Linked DNA regions of Arabidopsis thaliana. The protein of the gene in region 1 interacts with the protein of each later gene in a pairwise test. Each region holds a gene or a part of one and is shown on either strand. Other genes may lie near its edges. The genes, in order: AT1G07930 and AT1G77550.

What was found.
Region 2: the proteins of AT1G07930 (region 1) and AT1G77550 interact in a two-hybrid assay, tested with the Arabidopsis thaliana proteins (one large-scale study listed by BioGRID).

What each region holds. Positions count from the first base shown.
Region 1 is NC_003070.9:2,447,370-2,463,002, reverse strand, and holds AT1G07930 (GTP binding Elongation factor Tu family protein), read right to left. Parts: upstream 4,820-15,633; 5' UTR 4,658-4,819; intron 4,013-4,657; 5' UTR 3,990-4,012; coding exon 3,528-3,989; intron 3,433-3,527; coding exon 2,545-3,432; 3' UTR 2,186-2,544; downstream 1-2,185. Other genes in the region: AT1G07920 (GTP binding Elongation factor Tu family protein), read right to left, coding at 6,002-6,889, 6,983-7,444; RNL (RNAligase), read right to left, coding at 8,617-9,015, 9,147-9,305, 9,459-9,561, 9,920-10,000, 10,120-10,196, 10,275-10,346, 10,458-10,534, 10,899-10,959 and 16 more. UniProt on the Arabidopsis thaliana protein: This protein promotes the GTP-dependent binding of aminoacyl-tRNA to the A-site of ribosomes during protein biosynthesis.
Region 2 is NC_003070.9:29,133,457-29,150,830, forward strand, and holds AT1G77550 (tubulin-tyrosine ligase), read right to left. Parts: upstream 9,595-17,374; 5' UTR 9,510-9,594; coding exon 9,243-9,509; intron 9,156-9,242; coding exon 8,925-9,155; intron 8,798-8,924; coding exon 8,673-8,797; intron 8,589-8,672; coding exon 8,375-8,588; intron 8,230-8,374; coding exon 8,104-8,229; intron 7,995-8,103; coding exon 7,738-7,994; intron 7,241-7,737; coding exon 7,133-7,240; intron 6,938-7,132; coding exon 6,796-6,937; intron 6,686-6,795; coding exon 6,520-6,685; intron 6,383-6,519; coding exon 6,225-6,382; intron 6,144-6,224; coding exon 5,820-6,143; intron 5,738-5,819; coding exon 5,663-5,737; intron 5,579-5,662; coding exon 5,509-5,578; intron 5,429-5,508; coding exon 5,271-5,428; intron 5,181-5,270; coding exon 5,034-5,180; 3' UTR 4,821-5,033; downstream 1-4,820. Other genes in the region: AT1G77525 (defensin-like protein), read right to left, coding at 575-747, 916-982; AT1G77530 (O-methyltransferase family protein), read left to right, coding at 2,581-3,050, 3,116-3,426, 3,521-3,585, 3,668-3,967; AT1G77540 (Acyl-CoA N-acyltransferases (NAT) superfamily protein), read right to left, coding at 4,306-4,377, 4,454-4,726; AT1G77570 (Winged helix-turn-helix transcription repressor DNA-binding protein), read left to right, coding at 9,894-10,337; AT1G77580 (filament-like protein (DUF869)), read right to left, coding at 10,735-11,112, 11,206-12,881, 12,961-13,156, 13,248-13,337; LACS9 (long chain acyl-CoA synthetase 9), read right to left, coding at 15,045-15,209, 15,284-15,490, 15,579-15,713, 15,807-15,938, 16,041-16,158, 16,256-16,485, 16,678-16,851, 16,939-17,070 and 1 more.

The DNA.
Region 1 (15,633 bases):
TGTAATCTAGAACTTTAAACAACATTGGAGAAACAAGTCTATATCAGTTTATAAAGGCTAATGTTATTTCTTTGATTTTGGCTGTAATATTTAAAGTTAATACAGTCGAAGAGATTTAGCAAAAAAATGCAGTCAAAGAGAAGGCTTTTGAGATGATTTTATTCGTTGATTCTTTGAAATAGATGTAAGGAACAAAGCAAATTTCAAGTTTAAATAACGGCAATGCGAAGCTGTTGGGGAAGAAGATATATATGCAAACATCAAATTTGAAGTAGATTGCAGAAGCTTGAGTAATCTTGTCGATATGAAGGTACTCAACTCGGGTCTCTATACCTGGCTATGGAGAGGACAAGATGATGGCTTTTCTTTCTTTTTTTTTCAATTACCGTGAACCATTTTAATAACTGAAGCTTTACACCCTAACAATATTGTTTCAACCTGATTCATAAATCATAAAGAAAATGTTAAAAAAAGAAAGACATAAGTGACTCATTAAAGGTTTACATTGAAAAGATTTGCATACGTTTTAATGTTAAATCCTCTATTTTTTTTTTAATTATATAGTATACGGCTATACGCTAGTTTCAATAACTTAGAGCAACGCGTAAATCATTTTTTTGTCAGCTGGTAAGTAATCCATTTTTAAAATTTTAATAATGCGATAAATATGGGGACAAGAGAACCAAAGCAATATGGTCACGCGCGGGATTTTTCGAGGAAAGGGATTTTAATTAAAAACAGCGGTTTTGGTGGGTTATTAGACCACGCATTTTCGCTGAACGCGCTCTACGCGCGATTGATGCGAGTGGATTTTGTTTCACTATAGTGTCCTGATAATAACGCACTTTGTTGAAAACCTTGGGCTCGATATTTTAAATTTAGACCAAAAATATTAATTGTACTTTGATAGAGCCCAATACTATAGCCCATAATTTGGTGATATTTATTCATTTTAAACCAAAGGCCCAAAACTATTACATTTTCATTTATAAATTTTTTTGGCGTCATATTTTGATTCATTACCTATCAATTTCGAGGTTTATACAAAATTCTTCTTTCACTTGTAATTGGCTGATTATATTAGTTATCTATTAACTCACTATTTAAAATAGTATCTTATATATACCTTTTCTCTGTTTATCGTGAGTAATGTTTTAAATACTCTTGTATGTTTTTATTGATTGAATTATTTATAAGTAGACAAAAATATTTTAATATAAGAACATAACAATAAATCATTTCGAAATCATGTGCACAAAAAATTAAATAGTAATAATAATTACTAAATCTATGTGTAAAAACCTTAAATATCATTTAAAATAAAACAAATGCACTAATACATAGTTAGGTATATCATAAATATTTACATACATGGGAAAATTGTAAAATTTAATGTAACTCAGTGTAGATAGAGAGTTGAATACATTTATATTTACAATTCATGATGCTTTACTAACTCAATGATTCGTATATTCAAAATTAACATATTCTCTACAACATATGTTACACAAATTAAGTAAACTGTTTAAATTTCTCTTATCCTCTACAAATACACTAAAAATATTCTTTTCTTCTTTTATTAATAAACTGAAATAATTGGAATAAAAGAAAATGTTTTAGTTTAATGATATGCATCATGGGAAATACAAAACGATACTCTTTGTAAAACCAAAGATTAAGATATAATGACATTTTTTGTTAAACCGAGATAGTATAGTCTATATTTACAGTACTGAACTCTATATGTCAATAATGGTTAAACTTGAATCCCTCGGTGAAGAGGAAGACACTTGATCTTTGACATAATCGTAATATGGTTGATCGGATGATTTATAGATGGAAATTGGCCATTGGTCGTGTGCAAGAAAAGTTTTAAAGCTTGTTGGTTCGGTTAATATAAGACAACTCCTTGGTTTCATGATGATTTGTGTGGGTCGGATTCAGTGTTTTGCATAACTTAACTCACGGGGCGGATCATAATGAATTTATGACTATAGCTGGATCAATAAGATCGAATTTGTTTGACTTGACGTTTGATAAACAAAAGATCTATAAATGTGTTGTTTACTTTTTACATTGTAAAATATATGTATGTACTAGCTACGTTTTTCTTCAAAGTGGTATGCGTTGCTTTTGTTTTCAAGCTGCTCAAGCGAATCGGAGTAAAAACAATCTACAATGGCAGTTACGATATTTTGTTGAAGTTGTAAGTGTTTATAAGGTTTTTCTTGAAGTTATAAGTTTTTCCACAAGTTATCCAAGAGACTGAATTCGAATGTGATACACGCAACAAAAAAAGAGAGAATATCCTCGGAAAATCACATCATATAACCGAATCTCCAAATAGGTTCAAAATTGATAACAATTCAAAAGCAAAATAGGTGCAAAGTAGCTCCGCCACCTCCGATCAAGAACCCAGTTCCGGGAACAGAGTTCCGATGGAGAAGAAACGAAGCTATAACACGCGACCAAATACCAAACTAAAGTAAAGAAACTAATATTGTTTTTTGATTCATCTGCGGATAGAGTTTTGAGGATTCGAGTTCACTTTGCACCCTTCTTAACTGCAGCCTTGGTAACCTTGGCTCCGGTTGGGTCCTTCTTGTCAACACTCTTGATAACACCGACTGCAACAGTCTGCCTCATGTCCCTAACAGCGAAACGTCCAAGTGGTGGGTACTCAGAGAAGGTCTCCACAACCATGGGCTTGGTTGGAGTCATCTTCACCATACCAGCATCACCATTCTTCAAGAATTTGGGCTCCTTCTCAATCTCCTTACCAGAACGCCTGTCAATCTTGGTCAAGATCTCAGAGAACTTGACTGCAATGTGAGAGGTGTGGCAATCCAAGACTGGGGCGTAACCGTTACCAATCTGACCAGGGTGGTTCATGATGATGACCTGGGAGGTGAAGTTAGCAGCACCCTTGGCAGGGTCATCCTTGGAGTTGGAGGCGACGTACCCTCTCTTAAGATCCTTCACGGCAACATTCTTAACATTGAACCCAACGTTGTCACCTGGAAGTGCCTCAAGAAGAGACTCGTGGTGCATCTCAACAGACTTGACCTCAGTGGTCAATCCTGTGGGAGCAAAGGTCACAACCATACCAGGCTTGATCATACCAGTCTCAACACGTCCCACTGGCACCGTTCCAATACCACCAATCTTGTAGACATCCTGAAGTGGGAGACGAAGGGGCTTGTCTGACGGCCTCTTGGGCTCGTTGATCTGGTCAAGAGCCTCAAGGAGAGTTGGTCCCTTGTACCAGTCAAGGTTGGTGGACCTCTCAATCATGTTGTCACCCTCAAATCCAGAGATGGGCACAAATGGGATTTTGTCGGGGTTGTAACCAACCTTCTTCAAGTAGGAAGACACCTCCTTGATGATTTCATCGTACCTGGCCTTGGAGTACTTGGGGGTAGTGGCATCCATCTACAAACAACATGAAAGAAAAATCCAATTAATGAGACTGAACACAAACAATTTGAAGCAATAATCACATAAGAGATAAAAGAAGCTTTTGTTACCTTGTTACAACAGCAGATCATCTGCTTGACACCAAGGGTGAAAGCAAGGAGAGCGTGCTCACGGGTCTGACCATCCTTGGAGATACCAGCCTCAAAACCACCAGTGGTGGAGTCAATGATAAGGACAGCACAATCAGCCTGGGAGGTACCAGTGATCATGTTCTTGATGAAATCACGATGACCAGGAGCATCAATGACAGTGCAGTAGTACTTGGTGGTCTCGAACTTCCAGAGAGCAATGTCAATGGTGATACCACGCTCACGCTCAGCCTTAAGTTTGTCCAACACCCATGCGTACTTGAAGGACCTCTTGTTCATCTCAGCAGCCTCCTTCTCGAACCTCTCGATCACACGCTTGTCAATACCACCCAACTTGTAGATCAAGTGTCCAGTGGTTGTCGACTTTCCAGAATCGACGTGGCCAATGACCACAATGTTGATGTGAAACTTCTCTTTACCCATGGTTAGCTACTTTTCAGACAAATCTGCAAAAAAAAGAACAATCAAATATTGAATCAATAAAAACAGTAGACATATGAACACAAAAAACAATCATTGTTAAAAGCCGCTATCGGATTCAAACCGATTTCTACCACAAAATTGTGGTGCTCTATCATCTGAGCTAAGCGAGCTAAATTCAATCAAACAAGCAATTTCAAGAGATATACAGCAAACAATCCTAGAGTTTCCACGACTTAGATTCAAGAAGGAAAGAAACAATGGATTTTTTATGCTGCTCCAGAATTACCCAATCACAAATCAATTTGATAACTAGAAACGTATGTATTATACCAATAGATCAATTTAACCTTACACATATGGATCTAACAAACAATCAATCGCACAACAGAAAATTCAAAGAACTAGATCGACAGATTACATGATCTGAATTTGAAATAATAAAAGGAAAGCCAGTTCGATTGCACTACAGAACGTTAATTTCCTCAATCGATAAGTTCAAAGCCATGGAATCAAAGAATCTAAACGATCCTATCAACAAATCAGAGAGTTACATGTAAAGAAGCATAGAAGTGATTAAGAAGAAGCAAACGACAACGGGACGAAATTGAATCTACCAAATCGATCGGAAGAATAAGAATTCAAATCGAAGAATCGTATGAAAAGCTAACCTCACGCAAACGATATCGCACAAGGGAGAAGGATGATGCGGCTGTAGAAAAGTGGACAAGTAGAGAAATAAATTGGAAGGGTAAACAAGTTTGTATTTATAGTGGTGAAGCGGAAAAAAGTTAGGGTTTAAGATAATCTCCTTAGCGTAATGACAATTTTACCCTTATGTCTGGCCGCCTGTTTTACTAATTTTCGTTCCGGTAATGTCTCCCCCCATACTTAACGTCAACGACTCACGGGAGCATGTTCTCTTTAGATACGATCATACGAAGATTTATAAATCAGAACAAATCAGTTAAAAAAAAAAAAAAAAAAAAAATTAGACTTCATAATGAAAACGCTGGTAGAGAGCACTAGCAAAAAGTACGTATTTATACATATATTTTATGTATCTGATCGCTATATATCTCCTGCCTGTGTACAACTGATTACATTGATTTGCTTCAAATACACTGGTAACATCTCGCCTTATTAAACCCTTTAACAAAAAAAAAAACATCTCGCCTTATTTTTGGCTTTAAGTCCAACTCATGTGCTTCATTATTTGAGCAAGGCTTTCTATTTCATAAGCGAAATATTTATATATTCATCATCATCCAATGCCAGAAAATAATGATGCAAAATCATGAATTTTGGTATGATACCACTACTCTCATGTAATTCCAGTTTATCTATTAAGCCTTATATTGGACTATAATGGACCTTAAACCAAGTTCAATTTATCTATTAAGCCTTATATTGGGCATGTAAAAACAAAAAAAACAATGCAAGGCTAATGGTACCACAGTGGCATCTATAATGGACCTTAACCAAGTCCAATTTATCTATTAAGCCTTATATTGGACATGTAAAAATAAATAAAAAATTAGATTGATTTGGGCCGATCATTACAGCCCAGCAACAAATTGAATACACGTGTTGCGGACAGAACGGTAACGGTGAGTATTTGAAACCATAAAACTTTTATTTTAGCTTTCAAAAAGTTTAAATTGAAAGCAGCGATTAATTATGACAATAGAGAAGAGAGGTAAAAAGATTTCGGAAACGATTTACGCAACAAGAGAAAATTAGAGTAAAGAAGATAATAACCGCAGGGAAAACATTCATTCATATAACAGAAATTTTAAAACAGTTCAAAATGAGAAAACAAATAAAAAGCAAAAAACAGGAAGAATGTGTGTGTAGATCCGCCACCTCCGATCAAGAACCCAATTACGAGAACAACGCTCTGACGGGGAGAAAACGAAACAAGAACACAGACACGCGACCAAATACCAAACTATTGTAATAAAACTAACACTGTCCTTTGATTCACCTGCGGCAGATAGAGTTTTGAGGATGGTTCACTTCGCACCCTTCTTGACGGCAGCCTTGGTAACCTTGGCTCCGGTTGGGTCCTTCTTGTCAACACTCTTGATAACACCGACTGCAACAGTCTGCCTCATGTCCCTCACAGCGAAACGTCCAAGTGGTGGGTACTCAGAGAAGGTCTCCACAACCATGGGCTTGGTTGGAGTCATCTTCACCATACCAGCATCACCATTCTTCAAGAACTTGGGCTCCTTCTCAATCTCCTTACCAGAACGCCTGTCAATCTTGGTCAAGATCTCAGAGAACTTGACTGCAATGTGAGAGGTGTGGCAATCCAGGACTGGGGCGTAACCGTTACCAATCTGACCAGGGTGGTTCATGATGATGACCTGGGAGGTGAAGTTAGCAGCACCCTTGGCAGGGTCATCCTTGGAGTTGGATGCGACGTACCCTCTCTTAAGATCCTTGACAGCAACATTCTTAACATTGAACCCAACGTTGTCACCTGGAAGTGCCTCAAGAAGAGACTCGTGGTGCATCTCAACAGACTTGACCTCAGTGGTCAATCCTGTGGGAGCAAAGGTCACAACCATACCAGGCTTGATCATACCAGTCTCAACACGTCCCACTGGCACCGTTCCAATACCACCAATCTTGTAGACATCCTGAAGTGGGAGACGAAGGGGCTTGTCTGACGGCCTCTTGGGCTCGTTGATCTGGTCAAGAGCCTCAAGGAGAGTTGGTCCCTTGTACCAGTCAAGGTTGGTGGACCTCTCAATCATGTTGTCACCCTCAAATCCAGAGATGGGCACAAATGGGATTTTGTCGGGGTTGTAACCAACCTTCTTCAAGTAGGAAGACACCTCCTTGATGATTTCATCGTACCTGGCCTTGGAGTACTTGGGGGTAGTGGCATCCATCTACAAACAACATGTAACAAACCGCAATTAATGAGACAGAACACAAAAAGAGAAGCAATGTGTAGTCACATAACAGATGAAAGATATGGTTACCTTGTTACAACAGCAGATCATCTGCTTGACACCAAGGGTGAAAGCAAGTAGAGCGTGCTCACGGGTCTGACCATCCTTGGAGATACCAGCCTCAAAACCACCAGTGGTGGAGTCAATGATAAGGACAGCACAATCAGCCTGGGAGGTACCAGTGATCATGTTCTTGATGAAATCACGATGGCCAGGAGCATCAATGACAGTGCAGTAGTACTTGGTGGTCTCGAACTTCCAGAGAGCAATGTCAATGGTGATACCACGCTCACGCTCAGCCTTAAGTTTGTCCAAAACCCATGCGTACTTGAAGGACCTCTTGTTCATCTCAGCAGCCTCCTTCTCGAACCTCTCAATGACACGCTTGTCAATACCACCCAACTTGTAGATCAAGTGCCCAGTGGTGGTCGACTTTCCAGAATCGACGTGGCCAATGACCACAATGTTGATGTGAAACTTCTCTTTACCCATGGTTAGAGACTGTCAACAAATCTGCAAAAAAAAGAACAATCAAATATTGAATCAATAAAAACAGTAGACATATATAACCATTATGAAAATCATCTTTAACACAAAACAATCATAGTAAAAAGCCGCTATCGGAGTCAAACCGATTTCTACCACAAAAATTGTGGTGCTCTATCATCTGAGCTAAGCGAGCTAAATTCAATCAAATCGGCAATTTCAAGAGATATAAAGCAAACAATCCGAGAATTACCCTTAGAAAAAGGGAACACTGGATTTGTTATGCTACTCCAGAATTACCCAATCACAATTCAAATCGACATACATCTTAAATACGCAAATCAACAAGTTCACTCGTATATAGATCCACCAACCAACAATCAATCGAACAAATTAAAATCTCAAAACAAGATCGATCAGAATGGGAAAATAGTTTCATGAATAAATTATCGTTTAGAAGCAGTGAAACGTTGATATTAACAATCGATAAAATCTAAACAACAGATCAGAATTTTCAGAACGATCAATCAACAAAGAGCATCGAATCCAACAATCATCGAAATAATATGAGCAACGATCAGCAGACGAAAAAGAAAAAGAACGATCTAAGGGTACGTTAACGCTTACCTCAGAGATATCGCAGAAAAGTGTGTAGCGGCTAGGGTCAATAAGAACGATAAATGGAATCAGCAACGAGAGTGGTTTTATTTATAGCGTTGAATCCGAAACCAATGTTAGGGTTTAACATAAAATAATATCATTCTTTAAATTACCATTATGCCCCTGTTTAGCCGTGAATACTCAATACCTCTTGGGTTGGTTGTGTTTTATGAATGTTTAGTACTACATGTTACAAACATCATTTAATCACACCTTTTAATTAAGGTTATTCAAGCAAATGGTTATACATGTTCGTCTCCCAAAAATTTCATTGATTGTGGACCATCAATCTATATGACACTCTTCTCTAGAGTAAATATTTGATATCTCAATGAATGCAGATTATCAAGAGCCATTTATATCATTTATTCAAACACCAAATAAAATAATGAACAAGTAAAGTATATATTAACCTCAAAATCTCATGACAATGGAAATGGTTTATTATAACAACCATATGTGTCCCATTCCACGAGCAACCTCCCTCAAGAGAGAAACTTCCATGTTTAATCAAGTATTCAGAAAAACTCCAGAGGACCTGAGATTGACACCGGAGGATCTATCACCAAGCGGCTCGCCTTTCCTTCTAAGTAAAGCTGAGGTAACGTGTTGGCCTCTTTCGCAGTAACGCCTTCCGCTGTCCACAATGTAACATGTGGCCATTCGTTCTTGGAGACTACGGTCTCTCCGTCCACAGATCCAACATGGGCTGTTAGAGCAGCCATCTTGTCGTTGTAGATGAGCTCGGTGAGCTCTACGGGTACCTCTCTGTTCAAGTGCTGACTATAGCTGGCTACAGTTGCTACGCCATGGCTTCTCTTGTGGGCGAGCGTCACGTGAGACCGTTCAAGTTTTTCCTGTATGCTCTTTTTCTTTCCCTCTAGAAAAGATCTCATTGTTGGGTTTGCTGCAGCCAACTGATAAGAATAACATCTATTAATTAATAACAAAGCCCATACTTAACCTTTAGTTTTCGGCAGTTGAAGAGTTCTTGTCTCAATATTCCTTTTGTTTTTTTATATGATAGTATAAGAAATTGGTTGGTTACCTTTTCAAGAAGACTGTGAACTTGAGTAGCAGGCAAGTTGATGGCAGCGAAAACAATAGACCCGTGTTTTCTTTTCTCCGAACTTGGTGGCTTGTAATCACCCTTCGCTATTGTTTTTAGCTCTTCTCGCACTTGATGAACCATAGACTCAAATGGAACCTGAAAGTTGCAAACCAGAAAACAAAGACATCATATGTACATCCTTCTTCTTATACTCTTTTACCATGTACTGAAGGAACATTGAAGCAGTTTAAAATTCAATCGCAGATTTCTTGCTTTTCATGAGCCATCAATGACAAAGGAATTTTTTACCTGAATAGAACTGAGATACTCAGAATTTGCAACTAGAGTATCTCGTAGTTGTTTCTCCCATTTGGTCCATTCCGCTGCATATGTTCCTTTTGTTGACTCGAGTCTACAACAAGAAAAATCAGAAGGAAAACAGGTCAGAAGCAACCAACAGGAGCTAGAGCTAAAAGAATGAAGTAGAGAACAGCCAGAACAAGAAATAAAAACGCCTGTGAGCACACTCATGTGTAGGATTTCTCCAGTTACATGATCCAAGTACATCTAGTCACAGGATAAATAAATCCGATGTCTTGTTAGTTTTTGCTAAATTATTACTATTGCCTTTCATTTTTTATCGTCAGAACAGAAGGTGTTGTTTAATATATAACACGATGAACAAGTTTTGGCATACGATGCTCAAAATACTTCGGTTTGACATAAATTCAACTTTTCAAGTCATTTAAAATGGTAGTGTTGGTACCCACCTCCCATGTCTTCTACTATGGAGATTGAACAAATCAATGCCCTCCTCAAGAACTGATTTAACAGGATCAGGTAAAGGAGTCCTGTATATGCACAAAGAGAAGACAATTAAATTGCTTATGAACCAATTAAATATGAAGTTGCAATTTGTAGCTGTGCTAAGTTCGAGTTTGTTAGCTCGCATGTGATGTCAACTGTATACCTGTCTGATTTCAATAGTGGCATCTTGATGAGGGAGCCAAAGCGCTCAATCAATTCACTCTCAAATTCATTACGGTTCTAAAATTTAAAGAAAGTTCAGTTAGATCAAATCATAGATTTACTTAAAAGAATAAGTTGTGGAGTATGTGATAATACCTTTCCCTCATAAAGGTGATAAAACATCAATAGCACATAACCTGCATTTGAAGATTCCTTGTCGAGCTTTCCCTAAATATTTATTGCACATGAAGAAAAGATAGTTTGTTAAAGATGTAGGGTTGTGATGAAAGTTGGATGATGCAGTTGAAGTTGAACTGTGTATAAGAGGCAACTGTATACCGGATGGTTAACTCGTTGAAGTACACGGAACATGAATACAGCCAAGGCATCAAGTGAATATGGATTTGTATCGGTTCCTGTGCATTCATAGAGGGGCAAAAGTAAATATAATGCAAAAGATCACAAAGAATACAGAGGATGACGCAAGGCAGTAATTGAGAAAATAAAGCAGAACAACTCTTTGTGTTTTTAAGCGAAGTATAAACTTCCGACTATATGCAGAAAATCGAGTATCAACCTTATATTTATACATGAATAAAACGGGAGCAAATTCAGTAAAAGATAATTCATCCTTCAACCTTTCATAATCATAACGTTCACAGGGTCATCATATCAATTGAAGGTCAAATAGTATGGAATCAATTGAAGATGACCGTATAAACAGCAGAAAAGAAGATTGTTAACTGAAATACATCAAAGAATGGATGCATAGTTACATACCTTCAGAATCAGCAACGATTGGAACTGCAGAAGCCCTAGTTCTCCGACACATATCTTCAATCTAATAGGGAAATACGAGAATAAGATTGAAATGAGACTTGTAAGCCAAAGCCACTCTTAAAGGACCCATGCGTAGAGCTATTCTAAATGCACGAGGAGAGGCAGAGAATCTTATAAGCCTAATACTCATTTCTACTTAATGTAAGGTTGTAACAGATTCTCAACGTAGGATTAATTACCTGTCTCCAGACATCTTCATTTGGGGCATTTTTGTCAGCCAACATAATCGATTGTGGTTTTTTACGACGTTCATCAGCAACCTTTGGCCAATATTTTCCTGTCCCGTATGTAGAATATTGCATGAGATGGCATAGCAAATTGAGAGACCAGAGCAGTTTTGACCCAAAAAAAACCTACATTCTAAAATACCTTTGACAAGATCACCCATCAGAGTATGCACTGGCCTATCATCTCCAAAGCCTCCTGGGGCGTTCAATAACTCCTTGCAAAGTGCAGATTTAGCAGATCCAGGAATTCCTGAGAAAACATTAATATTGTAGAAATCAGAAGAAAAGAGATTAAAGGAGATGTCAAAGCAAACGACATATACAGAAAAATATACCACCAGTCACTCTAAAACAATGTGTTGCTCTCACTTCTGGTCAGAAGTAAAAAACTTGATTTTTTACTAATGTTTTATTATCTGAATGACTAAAACAATTACAAGCTGATAACCACTACCATCCATAAGTTCAATATAAGACACTGCCACAAAAATGAACTAAAACCAACAACCAGAATACATGAAATAATATATAACAATGAATACCTGGAAAGAATACAATTAACCCCTCATCCTTTTGGACAGCTTCCTTCACAGCTGGCTCAGGAGTAGCTGGTGTCACTCCTTGTTTCTTCACAAGATCGCCTTCTTCATCTAGATCACCGTCAACAATGGCCAAGAAGTCCTCAGTTCTAACTAGGTTCCCAGCAGACCCTATCAAAATATGGTTCTTTGGGCTCCGTTTCGCGTACTGCTCCAGGAATGGCTCAGCTTCACTTAAGTATGTTGATGAAGATAGCTGATCATTCCCACACTTTCTTCTTATGTAAGCAGCCCTGCACGTAGTGAAGAGAAGAGAAGATGAGATGCTAATCCAGATTCAAAAAGATGAAAAATTATCTAGGCAGTAGGTTACACATTTGCTCAGGAAATAAGTTTCCACAAAATTGTATAAGCTTAGTCTACATGTGTAGAGTAGTGTGATTTTGGTACCATTCATCAAGCATCTTGCAAAGTTCTTTCTGCTTTCCATCTGACGTACCCCAGATTTTCATTTGCCTGGATGCAGAAACAACAATGATATTAGAAAAAAATCAAATTAAAGCTTGACCACGTCAGCTCCTACATAATCAAAACATAATGAGTATGCAACAACTAGTCTCCACGTTTTGTTTTACAATGCAATGCAAAACATCACTATAACATTTGACACATCACTCTATATGTATATATTCATAGGGAGAAAGCAGCTCACCTAAGGTAGTAAGTTTTGTAAGCTGCTGCCCCGTCTTTAAATAGAATTGATAGGCCATTACGGATCAAAAAGGTTCTCAACTGTAAAAAAAATGAAGACATGTCCAACATCAGGATGATAATGCAACGAAAGAGCCAGGAAATTGCAACAAATTACAAATCCCTCTAGCCAGAAGACCTTCCATCCTAAAATTACCTTGTATGTGAGAAACTTCATTTTAATCATTAAGTTAGCATCATCATCAGCCAAACCATCCTTTTCTCCTCGACCATCATTTTCACTGGCATTATCAATGCTTTTCAGAGCCATCAGATCCCTCCCTTTGTTTGACTTGAACAAATTAATATCAACAAAGAAACCTGAAAAGAAAAAAGAAGATCACTAACTAATATAGTTAGACGAAAAACAGATGGCAATGGTCCATAGCATGCTACCACAACAACCAAATCTGAAACATCCAAGAAAATTTGATTTCCTAACAAAGTTATTTCACAAAGACTAGGAACTGTGCAAAGTAGAGACAAAATTATTGAACTCTAACAAATGAATCAGAAATGGTGCATTAACATGGAATTTGAAAGCAAAGTTATAGAATAAGAAACAAGTAAAAGCATTTACCTCGATATAAAGGCCACAAACTAGGCATGTGCCTGAAACACGGTAATTAATATGGTTCAGTAAACAGAAATCAATACTTTCGTAGTTTGGTCAAACTGAAAGACATAAGTAACTAAGACGTGTTTAAAGATAACCTCATCTCTTTGTGGTAACGCCTAAATCCTGAATCGCTGTGCACATGGACAACCAATTTATAAAAAAGGTTATCAGGTGATATGTCCTCAGCTCTATGAAAATTATGGTAACACTTGAATGCGGCTGGAAGACGTTTTTCCTTCATCAAGCGTACCATTTCCTATTAAAAAAGAAAATCAGTTGCTCGTCAAAAACACATAAATAATAGAAACTGGTAAATATTACCACATGAGAGAACACTGCAAGTGAAAGATATATACATAACAAATAACTTCAGCGATTCGAAATCAACGAAGACACAGATCTCAATTTACCTGTAATTTACTAGTTGAATAATCTGCAGGCTGAGATTGCAGGAATTTTGTTATAACAGATTTGTCAGCACTTTTCGGATGAGATTCATCTCCGAACCATTCCACGTCACTGGGGCAAAAGCTTGGCCCAACACTCCTTAAAAGTGCTCTCATTTGCTATAGCACCACAAACAAGGGAAAAGGACCCTCTAGAATGAGAAATCTTTATCAAGAGATGGCAGCATAAAAATTCCACTTTATAAAGCTTGTCATATTTAAATTTCTTTTAGAACCTGTTTCTCGTTAGATCTATGGGCAGCACATATCTCTCTTAGACTGAGTCCCAGATCAAGATTAGCTGAAATTTTAAAATCCAGGGAAAACATTTTTTATTCTACACGGACTTGATAGAGTGGATTATCATGAAAACTTAAGTAAAATTAAAATATGATAAATAGTGCACCTCCATCACAGGGTGGTGGAGGATGATCTCTCAAGACATTTTCCATATCTCTTGAGCTCTGACTGCTCACGATACGAGCAACAAGACCCTCTAATATCTCACCCTGCACCTTAACATGGTCCTTTGAGGCTGCTTATTTTCGTCCAAGAAATAATTCGTCGAATGAATTTAATCAAGTTCAGTTCTATGAATAACTAATATGAATCCTCCAAAAAGCAAAAGTGAATACAAAAATAAGAAAGACTTTACCTGGGACTGATATATCAGCTACTTCATCAAGAGCTCTACAGACCGAGGTTGCTATCCCTTCTTCACACAGTGCATCAAACGCCGCGAAAAAAGAGGTCACTGATTTCCTTCATAATTGTTTTTAACAAAATACACGCAACCACCTTTGTTAAAACTTTCATTTTCCTCACGACAAGCTGTCTAATAAAAACTTCTATGGACAATGTGTGCATCCAAACATATAAGCATGTATTTCCTCCTAGTAGGACCAAAAACCTCTAAAGGTTGAGACTCTATGGATTTGGACCAGTAAATGCATCAACCAGGTTCTATCAGCACATTCTTACTATAGTTAAGATAATGTGTCCAAAGATATCAAAACCTCAGCTAGAGAAGTATGGGCAAGAACACCAAAAATGATAGAAGCAAAAGAACACCAAAGATGATAGAAGCAATGAATAGAAAGCGGTTAAGTTACCTTGTGGAAAACAGCCAAACATGATTTGTGGGTAGACGCCATTTCCGGCAAAATGAAATTATTTCGGAAGTTGAATAGAACTGGGGCTTCCCATTACCTAACTCGGTAACAGCAGTCACTACCACTGCAAGATGCAAATCAACATTTCCTTTTAGCTGAACAGCTTTAACAGAGTTATCTGACTTTCACAATTAAGGAACATCCTAAAAACAAAAAAAGACTCACCATAATCATCCAGTGGGCGTTGACCATGATCTCCAAGAACAGCGGTTACCAGTTCCATAGATATGCACATGCGATTTTTCTGAGAGAAAATGACTTATATTATGAGCTAGCTTTTTCTGTCAATTGATTACGCCTCGAGCAACTGAGATTTTGGGTTGCTTAAAGTTCTGTCCATGGAAATACCTCAAGAAAATCATTGAACTCTGCTTCTTTCTTTGGAGCCTTAGTTCCCCAAGCCTCCCTGAACATCCGTGAAAGAACAAAAACACCAACCGCAGTATAACTGTAAATGAAATATTGGGTTAGCATACGAGAAAACCGATTGGTCGGCAGCTCAGTTTGCAATCACCAGAAAGATTTACATAACATCAGAAATGAAAAAGAATAGTAAAATGCATTTGCTTCATCAAAATGTTTTTTGAAATATATCTGTCGTACAACTGTTATATGGTGTGGAATCTTATCCATAAACGTAACATCAAGATCATCAGCAAGCAACAAAACTCCTTGGGCATAACTAACTATGAAACTAAAATGTAGAAATAATCTATGTTCTAAGTTAAAATGAATGAAAAGGGTAAACCAAATCTAAAGCTCGAGTTTGGGTTTATTCATTGGGGTTTTGGCTAAAGATTCTTTGTGAAGAGCTCATCAATAATAAAGGAAATTGTAACTGAAGCTAAGAATAAATGAGCTTACATATTACCAAAACTGTTCTTTGCATATGCTCCCCCCTTGTGACCGGCGTACATAAAGA
Region 2 (17,374 bases), about 27 Mb from region 1:
AATAGTATGACGCTTTTAAATGATTATAGGATCAATCACAAGTTAGTGCTTCCTTAAAGATATTTTCCTGCGTGGGTTAGAAGAAAGTGATATCCTGATTCACGTGGTTCGGTTGACCCCTACTTTTGTTTTCGCTATGGAATTATAAATAAATAAAAGAGAACTAAACATGTATTCATTCCATTTCATTATGTGAGCCTGAATTGTGTGACATGATCAGAATACCACCACAAAATAAAATACGAAACTCATCACAATCCTAAAGCTTTGATTGATACAATAAGACGCGGCTAATTTAGGAATCAAATCGAATCATCCACAGATTGGTAATTCTTAGAGTGGAGATTATACGATAAATCACAGATAATGGGAACTTCAACGCTCAAAAATGGATTGGTTTTGTAAACTATTACATTGCTCTCGAGGGATATTTTATTTAGGGTATTTTGAATTTTTATGAATCAAATTTATTTCCTACCCGGCCATGACACATAAATCAAAGATAAATATCTAATTTTTATTAAATAGATTTAGTTCTCAAGATTCAGTAACGCATACATATAAAGGAAACTTATCAATGAGTACATGAACAATCATGTCCACTTGCTTGATTTATACAAACGCAATTAGGATAGTAAGGATCCTTAGTTTCATCTTTGCACTGTTGAGGACCCCGAGCACGAATTGGACTACAATATGTTCCCGGAAAGTATTCAACAAGTACAGGTGGACGATCTTCTGCCTCCACTGTTTCATATCAACCACAAAAATATTAGATGGTGGATGAAACGTGTTAGATAAATACAAAATTGATAACACAAAAATTTACATTCATAACATTTTTTCATCAGTCAATGTTTTCATATTAAGCAAGTATATAAACAATCGAAATTATATGAATTATATATATCTCACCTTTAGCATTATACATCACGAAAAACATGAGAACACAAAGAACCACACACGCACTAACAGATTTCATGATGCAAATGATATGTCTATATTTTTTCTTTTGTTGTTGTGTTTATCTGGTACTGAATATTTTTTCTTATCAACAATGTCTACATATATATACAGACAACACACACACAGATATTTTTTTATTCTTACTCAAATTAAAGGCAATAAAGTTAAGTTTGACCAAAATAATTAATGCCAATTTGAGAGTCAAACCAAAATATTTATTAAAAGAATAACCTAAATAAGATAAACACATTTAAGTAATAAATCATATATTTGACAGCTAATCTACACTCCCAACGTTCCAGATTATAATATTTTCTAAATAAGCACAAAGTTTAAGAGACCATAAATGTTTTGTTATTCTAATATTAAATACCCATAAATATAGTATCTAACATTTATTTTAAAAATTAACCAATAGAAAAAGATTGCAAATTATTAATAGTCATAATAAATTATGCATTGATATTTGAGAAAAAATAATAGAACGACAAAGTGAGTAATATGACTTTACTTGCATATATAATTATTTTTTTTCTTTTCTCTTCTTATGCATTTAAATCATCATCCACCTGTTAATAATAAATTGGTTTTAAGAAATTACTATTAAAAATTATGACATTGTTTCCTTTTTTGGATAATTAATATATATGGATTATGATCCCTTCTCGTTGGAATTTATTAATATTATCATTACTATGATTAGTTTTGATTTACAAAAATTTCACAATTATTTTGTTTCCTTTTTTGGGATAATTAATATATATAGATTATGATCCCTTCTCGTTGGAATTTATTAATATCATTATTATTATTATTAGTTTTGATTTACAAAAATTTCACAATTTTAAGAAATAATCTAAAATTACCATTAAATAATTAATTTGCAAAGATTCCTAAAGTGTCAGTTTTATTATGGTCATATATTGAAAAATTATAATTGCAGTAATTTCCCTTTAATTGTGAGATTTCTAGAAATATATCTTTTTCTCTGAAAAAGAGGTTTTCCTTGAAATATATATCATGATACCAGTTAGTGACTTAGTGTTGTCCATAATAAATCTTTGTTTATCACCACAATAAGCATACTGAAACTGAAGATATCACCAAACTTTGGTTATGATTTTCTTTCCTATCGCATCGTATGTTTTATATAGTTGACCGTTTTAAAATTTGTAGTTTTTTTTTTTATAATCGTCGATATTCTATTTTAACCTTTTCGATGTGAAGAAAAAAATGAAAACTCTGACGCATCTTTCATTAGTTAACTTTTAATTCGCATTTGAGTACTACTACACGCGTCTCAGTGCATGGCACTAGTGTGAATCTCGAATTCAATCTTCTTTGCCATTGTTATCTATATCAAAACAACAACAACAACAACAATCGCAAACTATCTACATGAACCATCATCTTTTATTCAAAAAAAAATACATGAACCATCATCTTTTTGTCCATCCCCGTGACAATAAATTAGTATTAAACATAATCAGTCCACTTGTCTTTGGGATTTCTCCTTATAAAAACATCACTAACTGTGAAAGTTAAAACCACATCCTCAAATCAACTCTACCTTTGTTATCATCTTCTTCAATCTTTCAACCTATATCGACAATTATGTCAAACCATCTTCAAGATCCCTTAACCACTTACCCTAAACCGGGTTTAACCAAAGAAGAACAAGAAATCGACGAGAAAATGGTGAGCTTGCAAGCGGAGAGTATAGTCAACGCCGTGGCTTTCCCCATGGTTCTCAAAGCCGCCTTAGAGCTTGGAGTCATTGATACGATCGCTGCTGCTAGCAACGGCACGTGGCTCTCACCGTCTGAGATAGCCGTTAGTCTCCCAAACAAACCCACTAACCCGGAGGCGCCGGTATTGCTGGACCGGATGCTGCGGTTACTTGTAAGCCACTCGATCTTGAAGTGTTGTATGGTTGAAAGCAGAGAAAATGGTCAAACCGGAAAGATCGAGAGAGTATATGCAGCTGAACCGATTTGCAAGTACTTCTTGAAAGATAGTGACGGCTCTGGTTCTCTCTCGTCCTTGTTATTGTTGCTCCATAGCCAAGTCATTCTCAAAACATGGTTAGTGAACATAAAACGTAAATGAACATTTGAAGATATTTTTTTTGAAAAAATTCCATATATAGGACAAATCTCAAGGATGTGATACTAGAAGGAAAAGATGCATTCAGCTCTGCCCACGACATGAGACTTTTCGAATATATTAGTTCGGATGACCAGTTCTCTAAGTTGTTTCACCGCGCAATGTCGGAATCTTCCACAATGGTCATGAAGAAGGTTCTAGAAGAATACAGAGGATTTGAAGATGTTAACACTTTGGTGGATGTAGGAGGAGGTATCGGCACCATATTAGGTCTCATCACTTCCAAGTATCCTCATATCAAAGGTGTTAATTTCGACTTAGCTCAAGTTTTAACCCAAGCTCCTTTTTATCCAGGTACAAAACTATACTTAGTATATTTGCTGTGCTAGTATTACTAACTAATGTACCTCCTAAATCTTTTGTATGGTTTGACTAATACTAATGATAGGAGTCAAGCATGTCTCCGGAGACATGTTTATTGAAGTTCCAAAAGGAGATGCCATCTTTATGAAAGTAAGTTTATATGTTTATGAATCGATAAATTATAATTGAGTCTCATTATTTTCGAAATATAATATGGTTAAGTTATTGACAGTGGATACTACATGATTGGGGAGACGAGGATTGTATAAAGATTCTGAAAAATTGTTGGAAAAGTCTACCGGAAAAAGGTAAAGTGATCATTGTAGAGATGATTACACCAATGGAACCAAAGCCTAATGACTTTTCGTGTAACACCGTGTTGGGCATGGACTTGTTGATGTTAACACAATGCTCTGGTGGTAAAGAGCGATCTCTTTCGCAGTTCGAGAATTTAGCGTTTGCGTCAGGCTTTCTTCTATGTGAAATCATATGTCTTTCTTATTCATATTCTGTTATCGAATTCCACAAATAAGGATTTGGAATTCACGAATTCTGCTACATGCTAAGTTTTCTTTTCAAGATTGTTTAGTGTATTATATTAACAGATTGTAATAATAATTGTGAAAGGGTGTTTGCTTTAGGTTTGTAATTGAAACATTTCTTCTTATGCTCCGACAACGTTTCTATAATGTTTTCTTACTGTAACCTTTGAGTTTGATTGCACCAAAAAGCACGAGCTAGTAAATCCCAATTTCGATTCATTGCTATCGAAAGCAGTAGGATTCATAAAATATTCATTTACTCTCATTTTGATTACAATCATCAAACGACATTTACTTATTACAGAGCACAATGAGAAACAAGTGTTATTCAAATGCTAGACTTGAATACCTCTGAATGAATCAGAGGCTTCCATGATGGGTTTCGAGGAAGAAACGTATCCTGCAAAATACACAAAGCTCACGAATTCAATTTCAAGATCCAGAATTTCGAGTAGATTTTTAAAAGAAATTCGTACCGAAACGTAGGAGCAAGAAGGGATGATGGAGATGGAGTGAGAAGAGGCGTGTTCGAAAGCGGCGACGCAGAGATGAGAAGCTAAACCTAATCCTCGTTTGAATGAAGGAACGTAAGTATGAACCAGATCCATCACTTTACCGTTGTTTCTCATCTTGTATTCTATGAAAGCTTCGTGATCCTCCGTCTCGAATCGCCTTTTGCCTTCGTTCCACACTATCTTTGGTGGCTCTGTCGCCATCTTCGCCTCCGTTGTCGCCGCCGTGTTCGTCATTTGTCAATAAACGTAAATCGAAGGAATGTTTCTTTATCTGATTCTTATCGGGCCTATTAATGGGCCTATTAACCGCGGTGTTCTGTTATGAATAATTTTTAGGAGGACTTTTAAGATTTTAAAATAACGAAAGCTTCATTGGCTAAATGTAGCTAATAAACGTACATTAGGATTTCAATTTTCCACAATGTAGCTAATAAAGCAAAACTCTCATTGTGCATAACTTACAAAAGACATGATTATAAATAAAACCATTCTAGTTTGGAACTAAACCAACCATCTTCTCTCTTCTCTCTGCCAATTGAGCTCACAATGGAGTAACGTGTGCAGTCTCGTCTAAGAAGAGGCACCCGAATACATTATTGAAGAAATCTCCGCCTTTAACAATACCTTTTCCATCTATGGTTTCCATGTCATATTTGCAAGCCCGCATGCAATCAGGACAGTATGTAACCTGCGTTGCATAGACAATCATGAGAACTTGCAATTTCCAAGAGTTTTTCTCAAGGAAACAAGTATATGTCAGGTAGTTTTAGTAACGAACCTCCAAAATTTTTGGCTCGAAGGAGCTATCGAGCATTACATCTACTCCGTACATTGCTCTAGATTTGGGGGATTGCATCTCTGGATGCGCGAGAGCTGCCGCCTCAAACACTGCCCGTATCACCTGCTTCACCTTCTCATGGATATCCATCCATTTAACTATTGAGAGTTGAATTGTGTTATTGACAAAATGAAATGCATAAAAATCTGGAGAAAGTAAACCCAAATATAGTGTATACCGTTATGTTCTTGTTCAAATTCTCTCACAAACTCTGCCGTGGGCTTGTGATTCAACTTCCGACCATAGTTCTGAAACGCATAAGAGAATGAACATGAAAAGGGAAAACGAGAGTTGCTGAATCATTATGTGGAAAGAGTGTTCTTAACTAATACCATGACAGTGAAGTGAGTTTCATATTCAAAGAAACTGTGCTTTTCCAATGAATATGGATTGTTGGACAACCTAACCTGAAATCAAACATATAGGATTGATATATATGAGTAAATAAGCGCTTGTATTGGTTGTAATGAAAATTAAAATAAGCATTACCCAAAATATCTCTATTAGGTAAATCTCCAGCGGGTCAATACTCCGCACTAGCACAACATATCGCAGATCAAACTTGTTCCCCTTGAACAAAGCAGGGTGCTCTATGTACTTCTGGCAGATCTTGGGACCAGTTTCCATCATGCGGATGATAGCAGATAAATTATCGGTTATACTTGTGTCGATTGTCCGTGCCATGTTCCATGGTTTCAAGATCCACAAATTGTTCAATTGATCACGTTTGCGGACACAATAGTCCCCAATAAACTGGGACAATTGGGTTTCAAGATTATAGGTAGGCTGTAACCATTTTGGAGATCCATAACCCTGTAAAGCAAAACATAGGGATTTCAGAAACAAGTTACTAACGTGCTATGATAATCTAAGGGTATAATCTGCTGAATTTACCATTTGAATAGTCTCTGCAAGATGATGCTTCATAACAAGACATGCCTCAAAGGGAAACTGATTTATGTACTGGTCATCTGTTATTCCCACCTCTTTTTTGAGCTCATCATCCACCTGTACACTTGTCCATAATATGTCTGCATCTTTTGGTTCATTTGCTGCAGGCAGGCAAGTGACACAACTCAGAAAACACAAAGAAAATTCTTGATTCGTCTAATGCATTTATGCAGACGATTGCTTAGTATATCCATCCAATGAGACGTAGATATCATGAAAAATGGATCAAATCACATACTGATCACAAATTCTGGGCGTGTCAGAAATTCTTCAACTTGAGGTAGATCCGTGTAAACCAGCAAAGGAGACCCATCACTATGCTGTATGCTTCGGGAAACTGAAGGGTTGGAAGGTTTTGACTCGAAGGCTTTGGCCTGCAGTTTCTGTTGGTATTTCTCAAATTCCTAGGAAATCATGACAGCGAATCTGTTAATTAACAAAAATCTTTGTATGAAATGAGAGGAAAGGAAGTCTGCTAATGAACAGAAAGCTAAAGAGGACACCGAGGAAGTACATGAATAAAATAATTCTCAGGAGTTTGAAACCAGGCTGTGAGTCTCGCAGACCGCTGTTTGTCCTCCCCAATACCAGATAGAAAATCACGAGTGCACTCATCACCTTTTTGAGAATGCTTTATAGGCCACATTACCGAATAGCTGGAACATATAAAACCAAATAAACATGAAGATAGAAAATATTTGCATACATGACATGTGAGCCCTGATCAAGAAGCGCATGTCAATCCACATTACACTTTTGAACTATAGCAACATAACACGTGTTTACAGCGCATAGAAGTTGAATTTAACAAATACGAGGAGCAGTGCAGGAAATTTTTTAAAAGTTGCTACCTCACAGCAGATTCTAGTTTCCCAGAAGGCATGAAAAGGAAGGGAGCTACTTTGAAATTGGGTTCATCACTATGCCTCAAAGCTGAACCCAATTCATCCATCACATACCTGCGAAAAAGTGATATCACTGCACCACTCACAGTCATACATATCCAAAAATTATGTGCCCAAGAACTACAGACAAGACTATCCATAAACTGTTTGATTCCCCCTCCTAATTCTAACCTCTTAAGAAGTAGACTAGCATCAAATGTTCATTCCCAATACTATAGAAATTTTGCACATATATACACCAAAGGAGACCTCGCCCAGTCAAATCAAAGAAGGCTTTAGTCTAGAGAAACAAATGCTAGGGTGAGAATACATTCCAAAAGTGAAAATGGTCATTCCGACATACAAAGAGTGGTAACTCTTTCAGCTTTCAGTGTTGGATTAGAATCGTCACAAATATTAAATATTGGATTTCTCTAATTTGTCTATTTAACTGAAAATTGTTATGATAGTTTAAATAGTAAATATAAACAGCCGTGAGTTTTATTTCTTATCCCCAGCAAATCCACCGCACTAATTCTAATATAGCAAAAAAAAAGAGAAACATTGCATACCATAAAGAAGTTTCATCAAGCTTTTCATCATCCGCAAGGCGATAATTCAGCGCATACAACCACATTGCATCAAGAACACGATCAACAAGAGTATCATCAGGATTCAGCTCAGGAATGCGTGGTTGAAGCATTGAGTCAACAACATGCTTTCCAGTTTCCAAAATTTTTGCCGTATCAACGCCATTTAGTAAAGAAAGGTTTGAGAGCGATTCAAGAATCTCTAGAGCATTAATTCCAAGAGGTCCAGGTATGTCAACCTACAAACAAGAAGTAACACGTGAGCTCATCTCTGCATAAATAAATTTTAGTTAACTTTGTACAGTAACCTCAATTTGTATCTGAATAAGGACAACTTCCAACATTTACCTCTAATGAAGACAGTGAAGGGAAGAGCTTCAAGACTTCAAGTAGTTCTCCAACAGAATTCTGATCCAATGAGTTTCCACGAATATTTAAATGAGAAAGTAATGGCATCTCGTGCACAGAGAATGCCTGAAAATGAAGAAAGCAAAGGCAGATAAATCAGGCACGTAAAATACAAAATTGAAACATACACCTTCGTCAATGCTTGTAGCCTCTACGGTCAATAAACTACACTCCCTGCCTCTCTGAGAGAAAGTAGGGGGACAAAACTGACCTTATTGACTAGATTGTGTATTGACCGGTTTGAAAGGTCAAGTGAGGTGACATTGCACAAGGGTTGATCCTGCTGAACACAACCAGGATTATCCTTCCCAAAGATATCTCCACAGAAACCAAGTGCCCATAACCCATAATTAGGGGTAAAACACGAGTTGTAAATCTCAAGACTCGGACAGCCTTGCAATATTTCGTCAGCCATCTGACGTTCACTGAAAATAATCATAAAAAAGAAATACATGAGAAATTAATTATATATCCACACACATCCATATATTTTGTAAATGCATGATTACCTCTTCTGAAGAACAGGATTGTCATTCAGCCACAAAGCCTTCAGATTCTTAAACTTCACAATCTCTTGTATAACCACATCCGCACTCTCTATTTTGTTCCCGATAAGACTAAGCGCCACTAAATCCTACCCAAAAAATGGCAGCAGCACAAACAAAGAAGCTTTAGAATCTAGCATTTGAAATAAACCTTCACCATCTGAGCTAGAGTCTAGCATGAAAGTACTAAAGGAGAAGAAAGATCTAAAGACATGCCTGAAATTTACTAGGCAAATGCAGGGACAACAATGAGTCATCAACACCAAGACCCTCCAACTCCAACCATCTCAAAGAGTCATATCCTTTATCTGCTGCATAACGAATTTCATTGTCAATTATCTGATCAACAGAGAGTTCCTCTGCCACTTCTTCTTCTCCAGCATCCACATCAATATCAACACTCATCAAAGAAGCCATCCTCTCAGCCAATCCAGGAATTTCCTTAAGCTGAAGTAAGAGATTAAAACAAACCTTAAGCTTCATCACCAATCCAAAATTCAATAAGCTTCTTTCGAGAGTGAGAGTAGGCGTTACCTGCTTATAGGCATCGGGAAGACGAAAAGTCCAGGCGTGATCGACAAGGAAGACGTCAGAATCTTTAGGCATAGATTCGGCAGTGAGGAGAAGCTTCCGTCGCTGATCATCCTCGCAGGATTCGATTTGGAAGTAATCGCCGCCATCAAAAGTATCGTAAGCAAGTTTCTCGAAGAGGCGTGGGTAAAGCTTCGGCGGCAAACCTGAAGCCGCCAAAAGTATTCCATGTACTTTGACGAAATCATCAAAGCTCTCGATTTTGCTCATTGTTCTCTCTGAGGGGTTTTAGCTTAAGCTGCGTTTTCGGCGACAGAAGAAGAAGAGAAGTGGGAGTGATATAATAGGGTTAATTTTGAAAAGTAATAACTAAAAAAATGTAAGAAACAAAAAGAGGTCCTACCGGGAGTCGAACCCAGGTCGCTGGATTCAAAGTCCAGAGTGCTAACCACTACACCATAGAACCTCGGATGCTTGTTAGGTGAAAGCTATCTTATTTATATACATAATATATGCGTATTAGAAAAAAGGAAACAAAATAGAAAAAAGGAAACTTTGTAACTTTTAATCCTGACCGCTGAAATTTTGCTGATATCTTGACCGTCCTTTGAATTGATAGCTCGTCTATAAATAATGCTCTTGCTCTTCCTCTCTATGCTAAAATCTCGAAACCCTAATTATTCTAAGATTCTAATTTGTGAAGTTTGTGAGGTTTTAGGGATGGGTTACAATTTCTACATGAGAGTGTATGAGGTTGTTGATGATGCTTCAACGGATGCAATCATATCGTGGAGCGAAAGCAACAACAGTTTCATTATCTGGAATGTTGGAGAGTTTTACAGAAGGATTCTGCCTAAATATGTAGACTTGGGCACAAACCTCTCACGGTTTTTCTCCAACCTTCGTTCTCATGGGTTCAAAATAGTTAAAGGAAGAACTGGAGTATTGGAATTTGGACATGAAGATTTTATCAGAGATAAACTGGAGCTTATGAAGAAGATGGTTAGCGATAAACGTAAAGCAAGGAAAGCTGCTAAATCCAAAGCAAGGAAAGCTAGAGTTCAAGTCGAGTTTCTCTTCCAACACTTGCAAATTTGATCGTCCATTAAATCAGTCTTCTTTATTATGTATATTCGTCTCCAAGTAGATTCAAGTCTAAGAACTTTTCAATAGTATGTTTCTCTCTTTATAGGAACCCTCTTTATATGCCTAGTCTTTGATTCTTCTCTTATGATGGTGGCTTCTCTTCTTTATTGTCTTATATTATGATTCATAACAACATCACATAGAAACTTCCTAAAACCTCTTAACAGAAAATTGAAAACTTTTGAAACATCTTTTATGGAATATCCATCCACTGCATTACACTAGAGATTAACTTTTAAAACTACTACTATGGATTCAAAATCTGGAAAAGGGAACAAAGTGGTGTTAAAAACGGATCCTTTTTAAACCCTAAGAGATAAGTTTCTCTGCCTACTCTGCCAAAGTTATGTTATATAGCCAGATGGATACCGTCTTTACTTCTTGTGAATACTGTTGCAAATCCATTGCGATTCTTCTCAGAACTCCCTCGGTTTGTTGAAACTGGCATTGAAACAGCAGCAGACGCAGTAGAAGAAGAAGAAGATGGAGATGTTTCTTTGGTTGGTTTGATGGACTCAGGATGATTTCTTGTCATGAAAGTTTCGTTTTTGTGAACCTTCCAACTCTCTGAGTTGCTGCTGCTGCTTACACCATTTGCAGCCATTGGAATTATCGGTGTATCGGTTAAGAAATCTTCAAGTGTTGCAAGGGACTGCAACTGTTTCCCCAATGAAGCTATTGTTTTCTGACAATTCGCAAGTTTCCCTGCAGCTGTTTCTATGTCTTCCTGAATTATAGTAATCAAGTTTTAGTGGACAAAAAAGTGATTGTGATGGAACACAGTCTAAGTTTAACTAACACCTGAACTTTGGAGACAGACCTGTTTGATCTTGGGTTCTTTATTTTCACTCTTGATTGAGTTCTCTTTATGGAGAGAGATCTCTTCTTCAAGAGCCTCACATTTTCTCCTAAGCTCATCAAAAGCAAACCTCTCCTTTCTCATGTCTTCTTCCAAAGATTCAATCTTTGCGGATTTAGTCTTTGCATCTGCTTCCATTGCGATGGTTTGAGACTCTACTTCAGCTTTTAGTTCGTTAACGAGTTTCATCTCCGTTTGTATCTCCCCCAGCTTCGTCTCGATTTCTTGCAGACAAACTTGAGATTCTTCATATTTATCTTTGATTATGTCAAAAGATATTTGCAGCTCAGCTTTCTCAACTTCCAACTTCTCCAACTTATTTTCCAGCTCCATTTTTTCACAAGCAATAGCTTCGAGCTCAAATCTCAATGTGCTCTCCACTTCCCTGTTACATTTAACTTCACTTTTGAGCTCATCTTTCTCTACTTCCAACTTCTCTAACTTCTCCTCAAGTTGCTTGATTCGGCAAGTCAATACTTCTATTTCAGTAGCCAACGAGTTCTCTACTTGAGCAACAGCCTCTTCTCTGTTACATTTTACTTCACTTTCGAGTTCAACTTTCTCCGCTTCTAACTTCTCCAACTGTTCTTCAAGTTCCTTAGTTCGAGAAGTCAGTACTTCTATTTCAGCAGCCAATGAGTTCTCTACGTGAACAACAGCCTTTTCTCTGTTACATTTAACTTCACTTTTGAGCTCCTCTTTCTCTGCTTCTAACTTTTCCAACTTTTCTTCAAGTTCCTTAGTTCGAGAAGTCAGTACTTCTGAGTTCTCTATATGAACAACAGCCTCTTCTCTGTTACATTTAACTTCATTCTCGAGCTCATGTTTCTCGGCTTCTAACTTTTCCAACTTCTCTTCAAGTTCCTTAATGCGAGAAGTCAGTACTTCTATTTCAGAAGCTAACGAGTTCTCTGAGGGAACAACAACCTCTTCTGTAACTGATTCAGGTCCACTCTTACCGTTCCCATCTGGCGTCTCAGGCAATGCTACAAGACGTTCCATCTCAAGAAAATCACCCATGAGATCAAGTTCAATGGAAGAGGAAGTTCCCTGAAGGCTTCTCTTCTCAATCAATGTGGATGATGCCCATGAATCAGAGCAACTCACATCCATTCGTTCCCCTCCATCAGAATGACTATCTGTAGATCGATGATCGTTAAACGAAGCTGATGACTTAGCCAACATCCGAAACTTCCTGCACTCAGCCTCAAGTTTCGCCACTTTCTTTATGCTATCTAACTGCTGCTTGCTGGCGGTTTCAGCTGCTTGGGTACTCAAATCCCTCTCAATAGTTCTGATCTCTAGCTCTTCGCATCGCGCAAGAAGCTCGTGTCTAAGCATCACGTTTTCTTTCGCCACAGATTCCGCCATTTGGCTAAGCTCCTCAGACTTGGTTGCAGTTTCAAAAATCTGGTTCTCAAGGCTGGTTCTAGAAGACTGCAACTCCTGAGTTCTCTCGATCACAGCATCTTGAATTCTCTGTTCTTGTTCATCTCTTGCTTGCCTTAACTGTCTCACACACTCCTTTAAAGCTCCATCAAGATGGCTTACTCTATCTTCCAACACTCTATTCTTATCATCAGCAGCCTCAAGCTTCTCCTTTAACTCAACCACTTCATTTTCAGCTTTCTCCCACCCTTCACAACAAGAGTAGATATATCTTCACTAAAAAGTCGCAGAATCATAAAACAAAAATGTAGAAAAAAAGATTGATACCAGCGACAGCTTCTTCAGCGACTTTGACATGTTGCTTCACTAGATCATCTTTAGCACTCACATTAGCAAGAGCAGCTGAAAGTTTCTCGGCTAAAGTCTTCATGCTATCTTTCAACTCTTCCTTTTCAGTTTCTACTTCCAAAGAAACCGTTGGTGATTGTATCTCGTCATCACGAGACTCCATTGTACTCTCAGGCTTGAGCAAAAATAAAAACAGACATTACAATGATCTTTTAGATGCAAAGGACACAAGACTAAAATAACAAAAACAAAATTCTTGATCTTACTTGAATTTCAGAATCCTTCTCAGATAGTGAAGACACAGACTCTGATTCACCAAAGCTTCTCTCAGATGATTCTCTCTTCCTTTTCTCCATTTATAGTTTCCAAGATCACAATCAGCACATAACAGTCTCAGGATCTGAATGAGAGAGAAAACACACACACACACACACATACATTGGATTCTTTAAAAATGCTGAAACATACATAAACATAGTCAAAGAAGAAACAAACTTTAAGATGAAGTAAACTGAACCAATCAGCAAACATGCAAGATAAGAGAAAATCTTGAATAAACCAATCATTTAACACAAAGTATTAGAAATGATTTAAAGGAACTGAATTTGTCTTTATAGTAACAAATGTGGTTCCAGATGTCCGTTTCATAATCAAAAACCAACGGTTGAGAAAGCTACAAGACAAAGAACAAAAGCTTGAAACTTTAAATTTGAAACTCGTTGAGGCATAAGGGAAAATCTACCAAAACCCCAAATCCAAGAGAAGGAAATAAAAGCTACGAGGGTAATGGAACAGTGATAAGTAAGTCTCAAACTACACTCCAAACATTGGTCTATTTCAGAGAACACTTAAGTAGATAAATTAAAAAAAAACGAACAAAGGAAGAGAATATTGTGAAAGAGACCAAATGTTTGGTGAAGTAAATACCTTTTGGTTGGGGACTGTATGAAGAACTTTGAGATCCCAAAATGCCCCAATGGAAACAAAAAAAAATCAGCGATTAAACAAGCAAAAAGGAAGAAGCTTTCTTCTTCTTCTACTACTGTCTGAAACACTATTACGATTTATTAACAGCGACAAGGCAGAGATATAGCGTGAGAGAGAGAGAGAGAGAGAGAAGAGAGAATTCTCTTTATCTTGTTTTTTGCTATTTTTGAAATATTTCTCTAATTTTTCTTCTTTAATTCAAAAGATAGAAAGAGAGATAGAGCATGTGATCTTCTGTATGTGGAGCTGTGAACTCAAAAAACATTTAAATCTTAACTTTTTCAGCTTTTTTTAAGGAATTATTATTTTTGTGTATATAAATGTAAGGAATTAAAAGTTAAAACGTAATTTCGTACTAATTAATTTGAATTATTGACATTTAAAGTGCTTATAACAATTCCCGCCCGAGAATACATTATTGACAATAATTTAGGATAATTAAATTACGAATTTAGAAAGCAGCTTTTGAATTTAAGGAAGTTGTAACGGTTTTAATAATAATAATGTGATTAAAGAAGAGCTCACGCGTCTCGCTGACTCTGGTCATTGGGTTCACTGACAAAATCAGTGAGATTCACAATTTATCCGACGGTTTAGATTGCTCCCATCTCTCACTCTGCTTTCTACTTTTTTTTTTTTTTTTTTCTGTTAAGTACAATATAATTAATTTATACACTAATCTCCAATTTATCTTTTCTTAATTGTTGGTAGTTGGTAAGATTAACTTTATTTTCACTCCAGATTACAATTGATAGTCTCTTTCCTTTTGTCGTTTATCTCGAGTCCCAAAAACAAATAAACTAAAAACTATATGCATAGGCTTAATGACGTGGTTTGATAAAGGCCCATTAAGTTGTATAGACATGGTCTCAAAGCCTAAAAAGATTGTTGAGAGTAAGAGACCCATTACTCTGTTTTTTCTGTCTCGTCCTAGTTCCCACACAAATTACACGAAAAGACAGAAACATCAATGAGAAAAGAGATAACTATTCTTAGAATTAAGTTTTTGTGCATCTGTTAAGTCTTTCGAATGCATCGAGACGTAAAAAAAAAAAAAGTAAAGGAAGAAGAAAAATTTAGGCATATAACTTGGTGAGATCTTCAGAGAATTCCCTCCTAATTACATCTCTTTTCAGCTTTAGAGCTGCTGTGACTAATCCTGACTCTGGCGTCCATGGAGATGCCAATAATTTGATCTTTGCTGGTATCTCAAACTTCTCCAATCGTGATTGTTTAGCCGCCTGCATAACACAGATGTTATAAGGAAATGACTGGGGGACTCAAATAGCTTGGTAATGAGTAGCAATGAACATACCTTCACAAGGGACGCATACACTTCTTTCACGGCTTGCTCTTTCGTGCACAGTTCTTCGAAGTTGGCAAAGTCTATTCCTTGCTTTGAAGCCCAACCTTCAACTGTATGTTGGGACGCGACCACAAGAGCCACACAGTAACTGTAGAACGAATCAGCATGAACCATTATGTTTTCAACATAGGGACTTATACTTAGAGCAGCTTCAACCTGCGAAAAAAAAGAATGTTTTAAGAAGCTTCTCCGGAGAATTGAGTGATGAAGACAAAAAAGGGTATTCGGATTGAGAAAACTATACTTTGCCCAAGGAGACATATTCTCCATGCTGAAGTTTAACGATATCCTTTTTTCGGTCTATTATCTCGAGGCAGCCATCAGGGTGAAATCGTCCTATGTCTCCTGTGTAGAACCACCTCATTCCCTTTTCATCAACCTTTGAACATTCAAGTGTATAAAACGGTTAGAGGAAGAACCAAACCAACCAATTCTTTTAACATTGCCGAAACCAATAATGTTGATTTGCCACCTTGTACACTTCTTTAGTTTTCTCCTCATTTTTGAAATACCCAAGCGTGATATTTGAGCCACCAATTACAATTTCACCACGGGGCATCGGCTTATCACTAGTTAGATACCCACCTTCCGCCCAGTCTACTAGCTGAAACAAGATATAAGCATATGATCACAAGAGACTACGACATACAAACTAATAAATAGCTAACAAAGTATTAAAAGTGGACAAATCAGGTAAAGAGGTTACCTTTACAAAGGAGCAAGGAAGTGGAGCACCAACACGGCCAACGGATGTGTCCTCAAACTCCGAGAAGGTTCCACCAGCACAAGTCTCTGTGAGCCCATATCCCTGACCGATTGGAGCCCTGAGGAATATCAGTGTTAGATCATAGAAATGGAAAGGGACGAAAAGATATATTGGAGAGTAGCAAGCCTCAAGGAGATATTCAGGGATTCGTTTACCCAACGCAGATGTTAATGAATCTCTGAGTGTCACCAGAAAGAGGGGCACCACCAGAGAGCAAATAGCGGATTTGACCTCCCAAAACTGCACGGATTTTCCTGAACACAAGCACATCCCACAAAAGCTTTTCCAATCCCCAGGCTCCAAACCAACTTCCATTGATTGCAGATAATCGCCGAGCATATGCAAAGTCAAACAATTTCTTTGACAATCCGCCCTTTGCATCAACCTGATGGTCATAAATTGTCAGTGCTTATGCAATTATAATGTTTTACTCACAAGAGAATGAAGACAATTTAGCACATCTTGGTTGCTGGGAGATAGCCGGAATTATTTAAACAGCTAGGAGAGCACGAGCTCAACTGCTTTAACAGAGGATAGCCAACCAAAGAATTTCGATGTGTATCTAACATGCACAAACCTTTTTGCGGACACCATCCCTGACACGATCAAGAATGGCTGGAACAGCTGTCATTATAGTGGGCTTTAGTGCTGTGACATCTCCTTTTGTACCCTTTTTTATCTTGTTTGAAGTATCCGTTAGCGTCAAGGGAGACCCATATCCAATAGCACTCCCAATAGTAGCCATTACGCTCTACAACAATGGAATTAGGCCGCATTCAAATACTCTGAAGTGTGGAACTGCTATATAAACGCATTGAGTAATGAACTTTTAAGATACCTCAGCTGCTAACTCAAGGATGTGAGCCAAAGGTAAATATGCCATGTATATATCCCTCTTTCCAAGGTCAGGAACAATTGTCATCACTGCCGAAACTGTAGCTAGGACATTACCATGCGTCATCATAACACCCTACATTATTTGGGAAGTGGGAAAGTCAGATTAAGTAAATTTTGCAGGACCAATAACAAATAGCTGATAGAACAATTTTGATAACCATAGACAAGATTTTTATTCTGAGACAACAGTTGTACACGTCAACTGGTTTCGAAAACTTTCTAACCTTGGGAAGTCCAGTGCTTCCACTGGTGTACATTATAACAGCAACATCTGCTGAGAGAGGGAAATTAGGATCCACAGGATTTTCGCGGCCAAGTTTCTGAACATCAGTAAATGAAGTCGCCATCCAATTACTGTTCACATCAGATGGGAATTC